Linked DNA regions of Schizosaccharomyces pombe. The gene in region 4 interacts genetically with the main gene of each other region. Each region holds a gene or a part of one and is shown on either strand. Other genes may lie near its edges.

Region 1 (4,519 bases), 890 kb from region 4:
AATGTGTGTGCAATCTATAGCTTTTTCGAAAGAAGGACGCTATCTTCTGTTTTGGAGCTCTCATCAATAATGAATCCCCGATGAATAAACCATTCGGATACATCGAGTTTAGGGCTTAATTTAATGTAAATTTCTTTGGCTTTTCCCTCAGCTGCAGTCTCGCAAGCATATTCCAACAGCTTGGTACCAATAGAACGGTTTCGATAGGCTGGCAAAACTGCCAAAGATAAAATTTGGATTTTGTGCGATTTATTATGTGTTTCTTTTTTGCATCTAACAGCTCCTACGCAGACCTGGTTAAAGTACGCATATTGTGCTAAAGGCCCGACTGAGATTGTGTCTTTGTAAAAGGAGGTTGGAAATATAATGATTTCAGGATCAAAACACTTTTCGTTAATAACTTCAAGGATTTTCAGATTATTAGGGTTAATCGCATCAAGTTCAATCATCTTTTTTATGCAAATGCAAATATCTTTTTCTATATGTACTTGGTGTTGTCAACTTTCAGTCTTTAAGGCATTCTAATGCAATAGTTTGAGTTGGAAACATCCACGATAAAATCTTTAAACAGTACGCTGCATTTCATTAATCCCGTTGTCACATGAATGTGAAGGTATTGTAGATGCTGGTCGCATAGGAGAAGCGTTAACAAGGCTGAAGACATCGTCATTTCCATCTTCCTTTGTGTCTACGTTTCCTTCTTTCTTTGTGGTAGAGGGCTCTTCAAAATTTGATTCTTGTGGGATAATCTCTTCGGTGGATAGCTTTTCACTTGCAGAAACCGCAGGATTCTCAAAGTCAATATGAAGTTGTCTTTGATATTCATCTATTAATCTTCTAAGCCAAGGGACTGTGTAGCTAATGGCTGGCCATGCTGTACCTAGCATAGTAATGAAGTTCCAAAGGCTCCACAGGGCCATAAATGAAAATACCAGCCCTTGTATAATGATAAGAATGATTGCAATGATCACTTTCGGAATGATTGCTAAATCAAATGCTATCGGTATGAGAAGAGCAAAGGAAACCACTCGGGTGAGAGCAACCAAAAAGACGCAAAAGGAATTTTTGAAACCAACAAAAGGCCGAAACACTGCTAGCAATATAAAAGAGATGATTTCAATAACAAATAGAAGTATAGTTTGAATCTTCGCAAACTGTTGTACTAACGCTAAAACCAATGCAAAACTAAAATAATGTGCAAAGCAGGCGTAAACATAGAGCCATCGCCGTTCTTTTAAATCCAAATATAACCATCCCCACCATGTGTATATTTTTGGATCGCTTATCAATGTTTCTGGATTGTCCTCGTTACTCAAGCCTGACGTTGTTATCACTCTTATGACTTTGATAGTTAACCAAAGGAAAAGCCCAAAAAGCAGTGCCAGAAGCAAAGCCGCCAATATTACAGGGCCATATGCTTCCCTAAGTGTAAACTGGTAAATTATCATAGTTACCAATACAGGCCAACAAACCAACACCTATATCAACCAGATTAGTATAAGTATAAAGCAAAAAAGTCGTTAAGAGCTATGTATGAACAACTCATTCCTTTGTTCAATTAACTTACCCATCTCATACAAGCATTAAAAAGTACTCTAAACCAATACCTTGTGATATAATCGCATGAAGATTTTGCGATTATACGTGTCTGACGAAGAAACTTAATAATAAGTACGAATATTATAACGATTCCTCCTGCTATGGCCAAAGAAATCAAAAACCATATTAAAGTGAGTGTAAATAAATTCGTTGTTAGCGTTCCAACTTCGGTGGCTAGGCCTTGAAACCCATGGTAAAATCCAGGAATCGGGCTTTGAGGGTTTGTTGCAACAGCATCTCTTCGATGGACTCCACCTATCTTTGGAGAACTTAGGTTTCCATTGGAATGCTTTCTAAAAGACTCAAGGCTGTTTTCTATCTCTTTATTGGTAATAAATCCTAGAATCCATGCAAAATTACTAGCCCATGCGACTAGCACTTTTGGCTGTGTAATTCCAATTGCTCCCGTGAAAGCTATACATTGAAGTAGCTCTCCCATGTGCTGCAAAGAAGGAACGGAATTGATGAAAACCTGACGTGTCAGATAGGTGCTATGCTCCATTCCAATTACATAAAAGCCTAAGACGCCTGCTATACTCAATGCCAAAGCAGTTCCACTTAGAGCTTTTACGACTTTATTTTTAAACGTATGACCATTATTAAGTGTCGCGATCATGCACGCAAGTGGTGTAGAATTATCGATGGATGACGCTGCGATGTCTTCTGAGCGATACATGCGAAAACGCACTAAGCCTTCAAAATCAGGAATTCCCCAGGCAATTTTTGGGATCATCTGAACATCTTGAGGGCTCACTGGAAGTATTCCCTGTGTGGTTATAGCTGTATCTCTTGCAACTGGGCACACAGTATTAAGATTTATTTCACAAGGGTCGAAAGTAAATCTTGCCCTCTGCTCTCCATAAGCTTCAACTATAATATCAAACGTAACATTTGCGTCCACAGATGAATATCCAAGAATATTAAAGACTACTGACAAGTTTCGTGTATAATAACTTGCATCAAACCGATTAAACACTATCGGGGCATTTGACATGCATTCTGCGTACTCGGCTGTTCCAAGTTTGTGATTTGGTCTCTTACTATATCTTACTCGACCTTCCACTGACGATAAGATATTACTTAAAACTGCAAAGTAAGCTAAGAGTATTAGCTTCATTTTCATTTTCCATTAACATCCCCCTTCCAGTTATGTAGAGGGTTTAACTTTGGAACGAATGCAAAAAAAATTAAAATGAACTTTCCTCAGAATTACCAAACTATCACGAATAACAAAAACATGCTACTGAACTCAAATGCCGTAATTTGACTGTAATGTTTACGAAATAGCAGTCGTATTTTTTAACAACCATAGCATTGAGTTAAATACAAGGATTAAATAAATAGTAATGAAACGATTGAAGCTTTAAGATTTTTACGAAAAAGAATACAGAACGTGGCTTCGTTTATTTAGTTACCACCATCTTAGCATTGTTCTTACGCTCACAATTTTACACTATGAAAAAAGCAATATAATGGTAAAGAATGTATCATTAGTAAAGAATAAAAAAAAGAAATGCATTTTCATTTCATTTGTAGTTGTGAGAAGAAATGATGGAATGTGCGAGCCTCACTTGATTTTATGTCATTATGTTTTGGACCTCAATTAGTAATAAAATTATTCTGTTGAAGTCATTTCTGAAGGCGTTTCTTGATTTTTCGCTTGTAATTCGTTGAGTTGCTCCATTAAAAGATTTCGAAAAGGAGTCAGCAGCTTCTCTTTAGTTCTATTTAATTTCATTCCACAATTTGGAAGTTGTGGCTGCGGTACTCCATGAGCTGTAGTGGGTGTAATAATTGCGGACCCAAAGAAGTTATAAAGATGTAAAAGCCATTCACTAGTACTATCTTTATTCTCAATAGCCTTCTTGCTTTCTTCATCAAGTTCCTTCACATAATCACCAATTTCTTCCAAAACTTGATGTTTTGTCTCTTCATCCAAGGTATTTAAAGCTTTATGGGCAACATCTACCGCATCAGGAGTCTTCACCTCAACACTAAATTGTTTTAAACAATGGCGATACCAGTCGCACCACTCTCCACAAAGATCGGGCGCATTCACAACAAGTCGGTGAATGAAACGGACAAAGCAGCTTTGATAACGTTCAACAAGATTGATGAACTTTACTAAGGGAGCACCGGCCTTTGAAAGCTGAATAACATCCCATAAGAAATACTGAAAGTCATAAATAGCTTGTGAAAAATCGGCAGCTTGATGTGCTTCGTAAATGATATTATAAAACGCATTCATAAATTCTCTTACAACATCATTCAGTTGATCGTTGTCACATAGATCGTGGATTAAACATTCGCGATCACGATGTGTTAAAGCGGCATCAAAATATCTCATGGCAATATGGACACCTTTCTCGGAATAAGGATCGAAATGAAAGTCTTCAATCTCGGAATGCTCGGTTTCAGATGCAGTGTCGGGTACTTCATCTTCATTGCCTTGGACAGACGAGGCCTTATCGGAGTCTTCCTTATCAACTCCTTCAGTCTCGGTAGTTTCAGTTTGCTGTGCTTCGTACGCCTCTAAAATTGCGATAGTAATGTTCAGTTCCTTATTGATGCTTTGAGAACGAACATCATCTTGTTCAGTACGCGAAAGTTGAGTGAACCATTGCAAGGCTTTACGCATCGTCTCCCATTTTGCATCGTCTTCAAATTCTGCATCTGTCTCAACCATAGTGCTCTCACTGTGCTCGAGATCGGCATTAAAAATACCGGCCAACATTGTTTGTAGCAGATTGCGACTTTCGCCAAACCAGGAAAGCGGTTTCATCAAAAAAAGTCGAGTAAGACCAGACATCAAGAGACCAGCATTTCCAACCCGAAGTACTTGGCGCGTTAAAAACCAAGGGATACGATTGTAAAGACGCTCAACTACACCTTCAGGGCCCTTTCTATTACTAACAAGGTG
Region 2 (4,158 bases), on a different chromosome or scaffold from region 4:
TTTCCGGTCGCTCTAACAAGCTAGTGGATGGTTGTTATAGTTGGTGGGTCGGTGCTAGCCATGTGATTGTGGCTTCAGGCTATGGTTCGGCTTCTCATAAAAGCCTGCCTAACCTTTTTTATAATCCAGAAAAATTATTAGGATATATTCTTCAATGTTGCCAGAGTACAAGCGGCGGTTTACGTGACAAACCACCAAAACGGCCTGATCAATATCATACTTGTTATTGTCTATTAGGGTTATCATCAATTGCTTATGACTACAGATATCACACTTCTGATGGTTGGTCCTATAAACCTTCCATCTTACACTCCTCTTTAAGCTCTTTATTACCGGCTCATCCAATTTACTGTGTTCCTTTTGGTTTTGAAGAAAGAATTAAATCATATTTTCTGTCACAAGAATCATCAAAATTCTAATGGTTTATTTATGAGTTGTCTATGGACTTTAATTTTTCATGAGAGGATTTTTTTTATTATTTTAACGGTTTATGTCCCGAGTTTAATATCATGCCTATTTTACTTCTCTATCAGGTATTTACTTCGTCATTTTTACACATGTTGAATAAATAATAATTCTTGACTTATTTGTTATCTTTAAAATCATTAATGTCATTAGAATAATCCTTACTAAAGGAAATAAACCATAGCCTTTTACTTATATAGGCAATCGTGGTCCCAATAGAGATCTGCATATAATGGTAACAAATCAGTCATAGAATGCTTTCCGTCAGGTCTCGTAAAGTAAAGCTCCCAATCGTCAGGTGAATATAAAGGCTTATCTGCAATTTTATTTAAAATGTCGTCTAAGCGTGGAATAACAAATGATGGAGCAACAACGTCAACAACTTGCTTATCGTCTCCAGAAAAAGAATCATCAAATCCAACTTGCGAGCAAATAAACCGCAGCGGTTCATAATGAGGAGTTGTAAGATGAGCAGTGTCATCTCCGTCATCTCCTAAATCATCGTGTGTAGTGTATCCATATGTCTTGCGAATGGAGTGTTCATAAAAGTCCTCAAATTTTGCATCAGAAACTTGTGGAGTGTTAATTTGAAGAGTATCTTCAGCAATCAGATATCCACTGTGTTGTAGAGCTTGTGGCAGGTACTTAGTAATCGACCATGGGACATCTTTCAAAACATAGAATATATTACTTTTAAAAGGACAGACTTGAAAGACCTCGTCTAAGCCAAAGGCACCTGAATTTAGACCACCTCGAATGCCACCCGAATTTACAATAATATAGTGAGGAATGTGATGTCGAGACTCATTGACGACTATTTTTGGAAAAAGTTCGGATTGAAATAGATGATAAATTGAGTTTGAATCGTTAAATGGAACTTCTGAAAATGCAAACTTTTTTGGGGAACAACCTATAGGAGTAAGTAAGCCAAGTGCCTTCCGAGCTTCGTAAATGCCATTAGAAATAAATTCTCCAAGTGAGGTATTGAAAGAAGACTTTTTTGTTTTCGAATGAAACATAAAGCCCTCGGGATTCCAATCAATATAGGAACGAGAGAAGCTGACACTGGCAGATTTAGCACTTTGCAAAGAGGAAAATATCTGCTGAGATGACCGTCTAATACTTTCGCCTATAAATCTCAAGCGCTCAGCTAGATAAGATTCCACCCCCATTAAAGAAGAAATCCCAGATAACTTGACCAACGATTTGAAGGATGGAATGCCGTTAATTGAGACCCAACCAACTGTTTCGCAATATCTTCCTGACTCAATTCCCACTGCTTTTTCATCGTAAATGGCATAATCTCTAATATGGGAATGACCACCAAGTACTTGTATTGGAGTGGTAGGGAAGTGAATCCGAAGCTCTGAAAGAACGATATCAAGCTCTGAGGCATTGTGAACGGGTACATGAGCGGGAATCAGAATCAGATCGATGTCTTTATTTGATACCATATCGTTCCACCATGGCTGTAGCGAGAATTGCGAAACTGGGAGGACACGAACCGTATCAGTAGCACCAGAAAATGAGTTTACAAATCCAAACGCAAGGATTTTAACATTGTGGGGTGTAGAAAAGATGGCATATCGATCTCCAAAGGGTACAAAAGAAGAAACATGTTCATCATATATGTCAATGTTTGCAGCTAAATATCGGCCTTCCCACAGAGGAATGAAATTATGATAAGTATCATTTGCAACAGTTGAGAGATAAAGCTCATGATTTCCAGCAACAAGAATATCATAATCCATATTTGCAAGTAATGAATCTGTCCAACTACCAGGGGGATCTGTCAGATCTGACAGGCCCGTACCATCATGAAGATCGCCGGTATCTACTAGCAGTAAATCAACGTCTTTTTGTTTTGCCAAGTGCTTCATATGTTGAACAAAAGAAGCGAAATCTCCTAAATCTCCTGAATAACGTTTATCTCGCGCATGTCCTGCTAACCAGCCATGGATGTCAGTAGTGTGTAAAATATTGACTTGACCCCATGTCAATTCCCGACGAATTGCCAAGGGCAAAGTTGCTGAATAGCAAGGATTGATAACAAATAAAAGAGAGAAAATTAATGAAAATGTATGGGCAGGTTTCATAATAAATATTGGTTCCCAGTATATAGGGTAAGTGCAGAATCGCCAAGATAAGAAGATCAAGTACCAAGTCACAAGCAGCAAATAGTAGCCAGCCAAACCTTCGTAATATGACAATCATTGCTTCCATCAAAAGTCATGGGAGTTTTAAAAAAGAATTCGTAGTCGCCTATTTTTTTTAATCAAAAATTTCTAAATGAAAATTGCGACGTCTGCAAAACGAGCACGCAAATGCAAGATTTTGAGATCGTCAAATGATTAAAAAGCTTTAGTGAAACACTACACTTATGTTATGCCTTTAACTTCCGGTTGGGCATAAGTATTTAGTAAAAGAAAAGAAGAATTGTAAATTGACAATGTGTGGGGAATTGGTTTGACGAACGATAATAGATAATATTATGCAATATTGTAAGTAATATTTATAACCTTATCACAGAGAAAAACGCTTTTAACCAGAAGTATTCCTTCCGAAAAACGTATATTGTCTTTATTCACCAGAGAAGAGTGCAAAAACAAAATATTGTCATTGTTGCTCAAGAAAATGATTAAGCAAGAAAAATTGGTTTTATAGTAATGCAAAAAAATTTGAAAAGGAAAAAATCATTTTTTCCATTCATGAAAATAAATAAAACCATTGAATCTGGCATTAGCATTGTCTCTTAAAAGAATTGGGATCCCGCAACGATGTATTCGTAATACCATAAATATGTATGAATTGCAATACGAGGAAAAGCCAGATTTTTTGTAGAATTTAAAACATAAAAAAAAGAGTAAAAACCAGGGTAAATATTGCAAAGGAGTATGTATCAATTTGCGTTTCCGTTAAAAGAAGGAGCATTCTATTTCTTTCATGAAGACTGCGTTTGCCAGTATCAATAACACTCTAAGCTTACTTTGTTTAAAGAACTTTTTAAAGATAAACAGCAGCCATTAACAGGGTTTTTTTTCCTCCATCAAGCTTGAAGAAATAAACTCATATACCGATTTAAAATAATAATATAAAAAATAAATATTGAATGGGACGGGACTCGAACCCGCGAGCTTTCGCACTGGCGTGCAATGCGTTGAACGCACCTAAAGCCAGCTCCATAACCACTCGGACACCCATCCTTTCTGTAACATACTAACGATTATGTACATAATATAGCAAGGATTAATAGAGCTCAAAATAAAAATAAAAGGTAATAAAAGAATGGATATGTTGTAATGATTAAATACAACTTCGGTTATTCTTTCATTCAGTATGGTTAACTGATTTAAAATGTCCAAACGATATGTTTCGTACAATACATGACGAAAATTTAAGAAGGAGAAGAAACTCATATTCCACTTCAAACGAAATATCAGGTCATTAATAAAGAGGGTTATACAAAAGAGGAAAATTTAATTTCACATTTTTTCTTTCTTCTATTTGAAACCTGCTTTTCCGCCAATTCATCTAGTCATGGTTTGTATCGGTCAACTTATAGTGACATTTGGTATGGAACAAATGAATGATTTGTGTAAATTTTATGGCGATTAAAGAAACTTCCGCTAAACATTCTATTTCCATTCATTCTACTTAATTAATTAATTTATCCCATCAAACGATATTTTGAAG
Region 3 (2,526 bases), on a different chromosome or scaffold from region 4:
ATTAAGTGTAATATTAAACAAAGAAAAGTAGGGATCTTCCAAATAAAACCGGATCGAAAATCAATTAAACAGAATAAATAAAGCGTGATAATTGTTTTCTTCAAATACCAGAGTTCCTTCGATTACTAGTAGAACGTCTGCGGCGCTCTCTCAAAGATGCATTTAAATCTTTGTATGCCTGTTTGTACATTAAATACATTTTTTTCGATAATTCGCCAATATCCTTGTTACTTCTTCCTGAAATATAATAGTAGTTTTCATCCTGGTATGTAAAAGCGACACGACGATATGGACCAGAAACGTATTTATCCTTAGGGATTATAGTGGCAGCATAGGGATAAGTAGAGTTATCCGGTGTTGGGTTTAAAAAGGAATTTGAGCGCTCCATCCATGCAGGAATAGTGGTAGTCTTCATGTTGATGTTAGGCTCTGCCAAATAAATTGCAGCCGCACCCTGGCTAATGGCACCTAACACTTTGATCTTTCTGTTATCCTTAACCTCTTCATCCGGTTGAATTGTACGACATGAATGGATGTAAGGAACCAGGCTGGCATGTAAAAGTGGGTCTTCTAGCATCTCACGCACGAATGGATTTCTCCCTCCAGTTATGAAAACAGCACTAAAATTATCAAACGTAAAACCATTTGATCGATAGCATTTTGGATTGTTGAACTCATTCAGAGTACAGAGAACGCTATATATGTCTAAGATTTCCTTAGAAGCACCGAGTACATGACTCTTCCAGCCGGTCATATAAGAATCATTAGGTTTCGGGGGTCTTGGAGGAAATATGGATTCGGCGATTACGAATTCAACTACAAACCCGCGATCTGTAAAATACCTCCAAGGTAGACATACTTGCTCCAACATGAACCCCTTATCAGCTAAAACGATAGCTAAATGAGGCGACAATTTGGCATCCTTACCAAATACCGGAGCATTCACTGAAATGAGGTCGTGCTTGGGATGAATTGCAGCATTATAGTTGTCAAATGAGTTCATTTTTGAAACCTGAAAGGAAAATGCCATCGTGCTTAAAAACCAGTTAATCCTCCTTTTTTAAAAAACAATTTAAAATTAATAGCACTGTAGATTGTATATTAGTTATATGTCTTACACAAGAAACCTGGAAAAGTGGGTAAAGGGATGATTGACCCCCTTAATATATTACCTTATGTTTAGGTCAACCAAAATGACACGATTCTACAGGGTTTCGATTTTTTACAAAAATTTAGCGGTATTCAGAACGCCTTTCGCTTCTTCCAAAGCTTCGTTCAATGGGTAGTGGTTTGACTTGCTGATCATATATAATTTATGTATTTGATTATTTACAAATCACCTAATTGGTAGAAATACTTTTTTAACAATTTGTACAAAAGCATAGATCTTTTTGTTGCTTATAACTGTAGAATACAATGTAATAGGTTTTCATCAATTATGCTGGCCTGATCAAATATATGAAATTAATCGAATCTGTAAAAGGACTTAGTTTTACAAACTAACTTAGCATTCAGGACATTTCATCAATTCACCAACATTAATTTACATGGGCAAGGAAACTGTTGCTTTTTCTGTACTTTTAATTCCTACTTTAACCCTCTATGAACTAGTATGCGGCTCAAAGTCTCCTGCACCGAATTTCCAATTCAACAATGGGTTGAGACTTCTAGTCTTGAATTAGTTGACTCTGTTAATTGTGTGGCAGATTTATGCCATGCCATATGGATGTTTAATGGAGGATGTGCGGATTGGAGGCTTCAAATACTTAAAGAAGGATTTACAGTTCCGATGACGGGAATTATCTCACAATATCTTAAAACTGACGACCACATTAAAATTGTGAAGGAAATTTATCCTCCGAATTTACCTGTTCTTCCGTTCAGAGTGTATACAACGCAGAATACCTCCGTTGAATCTGAGCTAGTTGAATGGGAAGATGTAGAAATGGAGGCTTAGTGCTTTGCTTGCTATTCTCTGATTTATTTGATTAAAAAATTATATTATAAAGCTATCTGCAATGGTAAATCACATGAACAACGAATTGAAGTTTGCAATTTAACGATCGCTTATCTGTCCCTTGAACCTACGACAATTTCTAAGAAGTTTAGGATGACATTGCACTGTTTTCATCATTATAAACTTAATGGACCAGCAGTATTATGCTTAACGTTTGCACTGCCGCTGCTTTGACACTAAACTTTTATGCTAAGATATATAACACCTATGAAAAGTTCAGTCTATGAAAGAATATAGAATATATATTATAAATTCTGTATACAACAACAAAGCTTGAAAATTTTACTTTTTACTTACACAAGCGACAATAAACTTCCACGAGAGGAGGTTAAACTTGGAAATTAGATGTATTCTTTTCTACGAAATTTATCCATACGCGCTAAGCAATCACTACTCCAAAGCAAGTATACAATGAAGTACTTATCGATGATACAATTGTAGTCAGACAACTTAAATTATTGAAAGCTATGAAATCCGACTCGAAACCGATACGAACGCAAAACGTGAAA
Region 4 (3,951 bases):
AATTGATTTACTTATTGATAGATTGGTTGGTTCATTTTTTTTCTTTCATCTTTTTCCAATCTATATGTATGTGTATATAAATATTTTTTATTTTATTATTTATTTTTTATTTATTTATTTTTTTCATTTCCCTCTATTTATTCACTCCGGATCACTTCCATCCTTATGTTATTTTAAAAAAAAATTTTTTTTTTCTTGTTCTATACTTCTGTTTATTTTCATGTCCTTTTCATTTCGTTCAATTAATTTCATTCCATTTCCTTTTCTAATATTTTTTTTCCTTTGCGATCGCTACCTTTTCCATACATATCTTGTTTTTTCCTCCATAGTATCCACCTTGTAAAACAAAATTCAATTAAATTGAAAAATTAATATTTTTAACAAATTTTTGAAAAGTTCGAAACTGCTGATTTACAATTTTCATCCATTCTTTGCTTTCCATTTTCTCCATTTCTCCTCTACTTGCGACACTTGGAAATCCATGTATAACCGAGTTTAAGGTTATTTAATAAGCGAATGTGTAGTTTTATTAATACAAAGATTGTTGCGCTCTTATAATCAACTATTTGCATAAAATTCATCTCTTTTATTTTTTAATTTATCATAATCTAAATAATGAAACCCCTCAACATGTCTGAGGACTCCTCCTGATTGCGAAAAAAACACCCATTCACCAATACACCAATTTAGAACCGGTTTTCTAATGTTTTTCTATTAATAATCAAATCATCCTCATAAAGTTCTTCCTTCAAGCTCACCATTTTTTATTTTTTCAAGTATTCATTCATTCCAAATTTTGCTTTTTCAATCCATCCAAACCTGTAAAGCCGAAACCGTTCCTGTCCAAAGATCCTTCTCTTTACTTTCATCCTCTTCTTCACTTTCATCCTTCTCATACTTGTAAATTCTATTTCCATAACATACACACTTTATCTGCATGTTTATAGGGTTCGCTTGTACTGTGTTTACCGTCAAATCGTAATTTCCCGTCACATGCGTTTCTTCCACAAGATCCTTGTTTCTCCATCTACGAATACTTCCATCCGTCCCACCTGCCAAAATTTCATCCTTTTTATCAGTGTCGAAAAGAATCCTTTGGTTCGTATCGCCACGATGCCCTTCAAGAGCATATACCATGTCGCGCACATACCGTATATCCCAAACTTCAATCTTATCACTGCATCTGCTTCCAACATATAACTTTTCTCCATCCTCACACCATTGTAGATGTGTCACTCCGTTTCCTCTTTCAATCGAAAACTCTAGCTGACAAGGGCGACGTCCGCAATCATTATAAATCCCAACTCGATTTGAATACGTTCCCACTGCCAATGTTTTCGAATCCATCGGATTCAAGGAAAAGCATGACTGTATACCCTTAAGACTAAATTCCCAAAGAGGGACTTTATATCCATGGGTTACCGTTGTCATGACAGGTTCTTTACATCCCGTTCTTATATTAAAATGATGGAGACAGTTTTTATCACCCGCAATCAAATACTCCCCATCGTTGGTAAACTGTAAACAATGCGATCCTTGATATCTCTCTTGGTGATCTATCATGTGATATGAAGCCTTGTTCTTTCCTGTAGTAAAATTGATCAACTTGATAGGTTGATCCCTACTAGACACTGCAAAAAGGTTACTGGAAGGATCGTCAAGTTTCATTCTCGAATACCAACTGTAACTGTAAACTGTTTCCGGTGATTGATATTTATACGACAGATGTTTTGAAAAGTTCAATGGTCCATCAGCCTTTTTGGATAAATCGGAAAACGGCACATTCCAACAGTTAAGACATTGATCCTCTGTTAACGAAAGTATAGTCGATCCATCCGGCGACCATCTTGACGAATGAAAAAAATTCAATGGCTTTGTTGGACTTTGAGCAATCACATTTGTTCCTAAATTAATACTTCCGCATACATAGCCGAAATTTTGACTTTTCTTCTTATGCACCAAGTCATCCTTCTGATCCTCAAAGGAGTTTACACAATTATCCATTCCTTCCTCAAGTTAACCTACTTTATTAACCATGTATGGATTATGGCTCTTCACAATGTCAACTTTAATTTTTTAAATATATAATATATATATGGATTTCTTTCTATCTGGTCATAAGGGTTGAAAACGAATAGTCCTTCTTTAAAAAACGAATTGTAATCATATGTAGTAGTTGTAATCTCAGTATGCTCGAATTACTCCAAGACATTTCCACGAGTCCTAAAACAGAAAGAATGTATTCTTTGTTTCTCAATCATAAAAAAAAAAGAAAATTAAAAGTTACGACTCAGGTTACTATATAAATAAAAATAGAGACAGGTTGCGATATACTTGTCTAACTAAAAAAACAATTGAGTACAATATCGTCAACATTTTTATTACTTTACGCCCATTGAAACTATAAATATATGAACGAAATTAAGCAAATAAGCCTTCATCGTTTTTTTGTATTGATAAATCAAAAAATATATTAATGAATTAACGAAAATAACCTATGCCAAAATCTTAATTTTTTTTTATCAATGAGTGCAGACGCGTACAAAAACTGCTCAACAGTTCATAAACTTTAGAGTGTGTCACTCTTTTTTTTCTTCAGCTATTTACTACAAAAGTTGGCTTACGCAGCGGCTTCCGAAATTGTAGCAGTTTCTGAAATGGTTGCAGAAATTGGTTTAGATGTTTGTGTCTTTTTCTTCCTGTGAAATCTTGTATCCTCTGGACTGAATCCACCGTTCCCAAACATGGCAAAATCGGGCGTGGATGCCATATAATCGAATGGACCAAAGTCTTTCTTTGTCCGTATTAATTCGAAAAACTTTGGATAATCAATGTGAGTATGCCAATGGCCATCTTTTTTGAACGCAGTTTGAGCAACTAAAATACTGCAGCTGTGTGCATGTTCTGCAGCAATTTCATAGCGGACGCCAAGGTCTTGTAAATGAATATCAATATACTCAATCAATTTTTTAACAAAGTCAATTACCTCTTCATAATAAGGCACATTCTTCATAGTCAACGGTGATTGATCCGAATTACCACTATAAGTAACCCCCTTAACTTCGATGAAACAAGGCACACCAAGACGAATCAGTTCAGTATACTCTTTAATTTGCTCCATGTTGAATCCCTTCACCAAGGTCATTCGGTAAACAGTACGCTGCCGCTTTTCACGTAAAATCTCCAAACACGTTAGCATTCGCTCCCAAAAATCCTTGAATAATGGTCGGTCTACTGATTTGAGACTCTGCTTAGTACTGGCATCAACAGAAACGTAGAGTTGAGTGACCATACCCATATTTCTTAATGCTTCAGGATGCTGGGCATTTGTTACTAAGAACGATGAAATCTCTCTTTCATGAAGCATGGACACAAATTCGTTTATGTATGGATAAAATATAGGCTCTCCAACCAAGGACAAAGCACAGTGACGAACACGAGACGCTTCTTCATATCTGTCGGGTAGAACACCAGGTACACCTTTCATTAATTTTAACTTGGCATAATGAGCCTTCAATATACCCTGAAGTATCATTTCTGGAGGATCAACCTTCCAGCGCCAAGAGGTTCCTACGGGATTCGTACCATGTCTCCAACAAAAAGTACATTTATTAGCACAGGCTAAACTTGGGGTAGCTTCCATACATAGATGACTTCGAATTCCATAGAAACTATACTTATAGCAAAAGCCTCGGCCACGCATAGCAGACTTTGTCCATCTGCAAATCTTTACACCACTATGTGAGCCAACTACGCTGTATCCCTGCTTTGTAAGGGCTTTATACGTAGGAGACTCTGTCGAAACCATCTCTTTAGTACCCACTGGCAAGGCTGCTTCTGCCTTTGCCTTGGCCATCATGGAACCCATATCCTCAACATCCATAACATCCGAACTAAGTGAATCCGTGTTTCCGATTTTCAAAAGCGTACCGTTTTTCAAGCATTCTGCTA

Evidence for each region.
Region 1: mutations in gnr1 (region 4) and trp663 together harm fitness more than expected from each alone (negative genetic interaction), as found in Schizosaccharomyces pombe (one large-scale study listed by BioGRID).
Region 2: mutations in gnr1 (region 4) and SPOM_SPAC17G6.03 together harm fitness more than expected from each alone (negative genetic interaction), as found in Schizosaccharomyces pombe (one large-scale study listed by BioGRID).
Region 3: mutations in gnr1 (region 4) and SPOM_SPAC18G6.13 together harm fitness more than expected from each alone (negative genetic interaction), as found in Schizosaccharomyces pombe (one large-scale study listed by BioGRID).

Annotation. Positions count from the first base shown.
Region 1 is NC_003421.2:1,657,068-1,661,586, forward strand, and holds trp663 (TRP-like ion channel protein), read right to left. Parts: upstream 2,717-4,519; coding exon 1,568-2,716; exon of another isoform or gene 1,479-1,567; coding exon 564-1,478; downstream 1-563. Other genes in the region: NatA N-acetyltransferase subunit Naa50, read right to left, coding at 15-449; SPOM_SPCC663.15C (uncharacterized protein), read right to left, coding at 3,215-4,519.
Region 2 is NC_003424.3:3,591,458-3,595,615, reverse strand, and holds SPOM_SPAC17G6.03 (phosphoprotein phosphatase), read right to left. Parts: upstream 2,579-4,158; 5' UTR 2,562-2,578; coding exon 654-2,561; 3' UTR 549-653; downstream 1-548. Other genes in the region: protein farnesyltransferase beta subunit Cpp1, read left to right, coding at 1-419.
Region 3 is NC_003424.3:2,239,401-2,241,926, forward strand, and holds SPOM_SPAC18G6.13 (uncharacterized protein), read left to right. Parts: upstream 1-1,594; 5' UTR 1,595-1,612; coding exon 1,613-1,957; downstream 1,958-2,526. Other genes in the region: SPOM_SPAC18G6.12C (uncharacterized protein), read right to left, coding at 101-1,030.
Region 4 is NC_003421.2:765,366-769,316, forward strand, and holds gnr1 (heterotrimeric G protein beta subunit Gnr1 ), read right to left. Parts: upstream 2,179-3,951; 5' UTR 2,005-2,178; coding exon 805-2,004; 3' UTR 571-804; downstream 1-570. Other genes in the region: wybutosine biosynthesis protein Tyw1, read right to left, coding at 2,621-3,951. UniProt on the Schizosaccharomyces pombe protein: Negatively regulates the pheromone-response pathway. Acts as a structural mimic of the G protein beta subunit thereby interacting with gpa1 which then inhibits gpa1 signaling.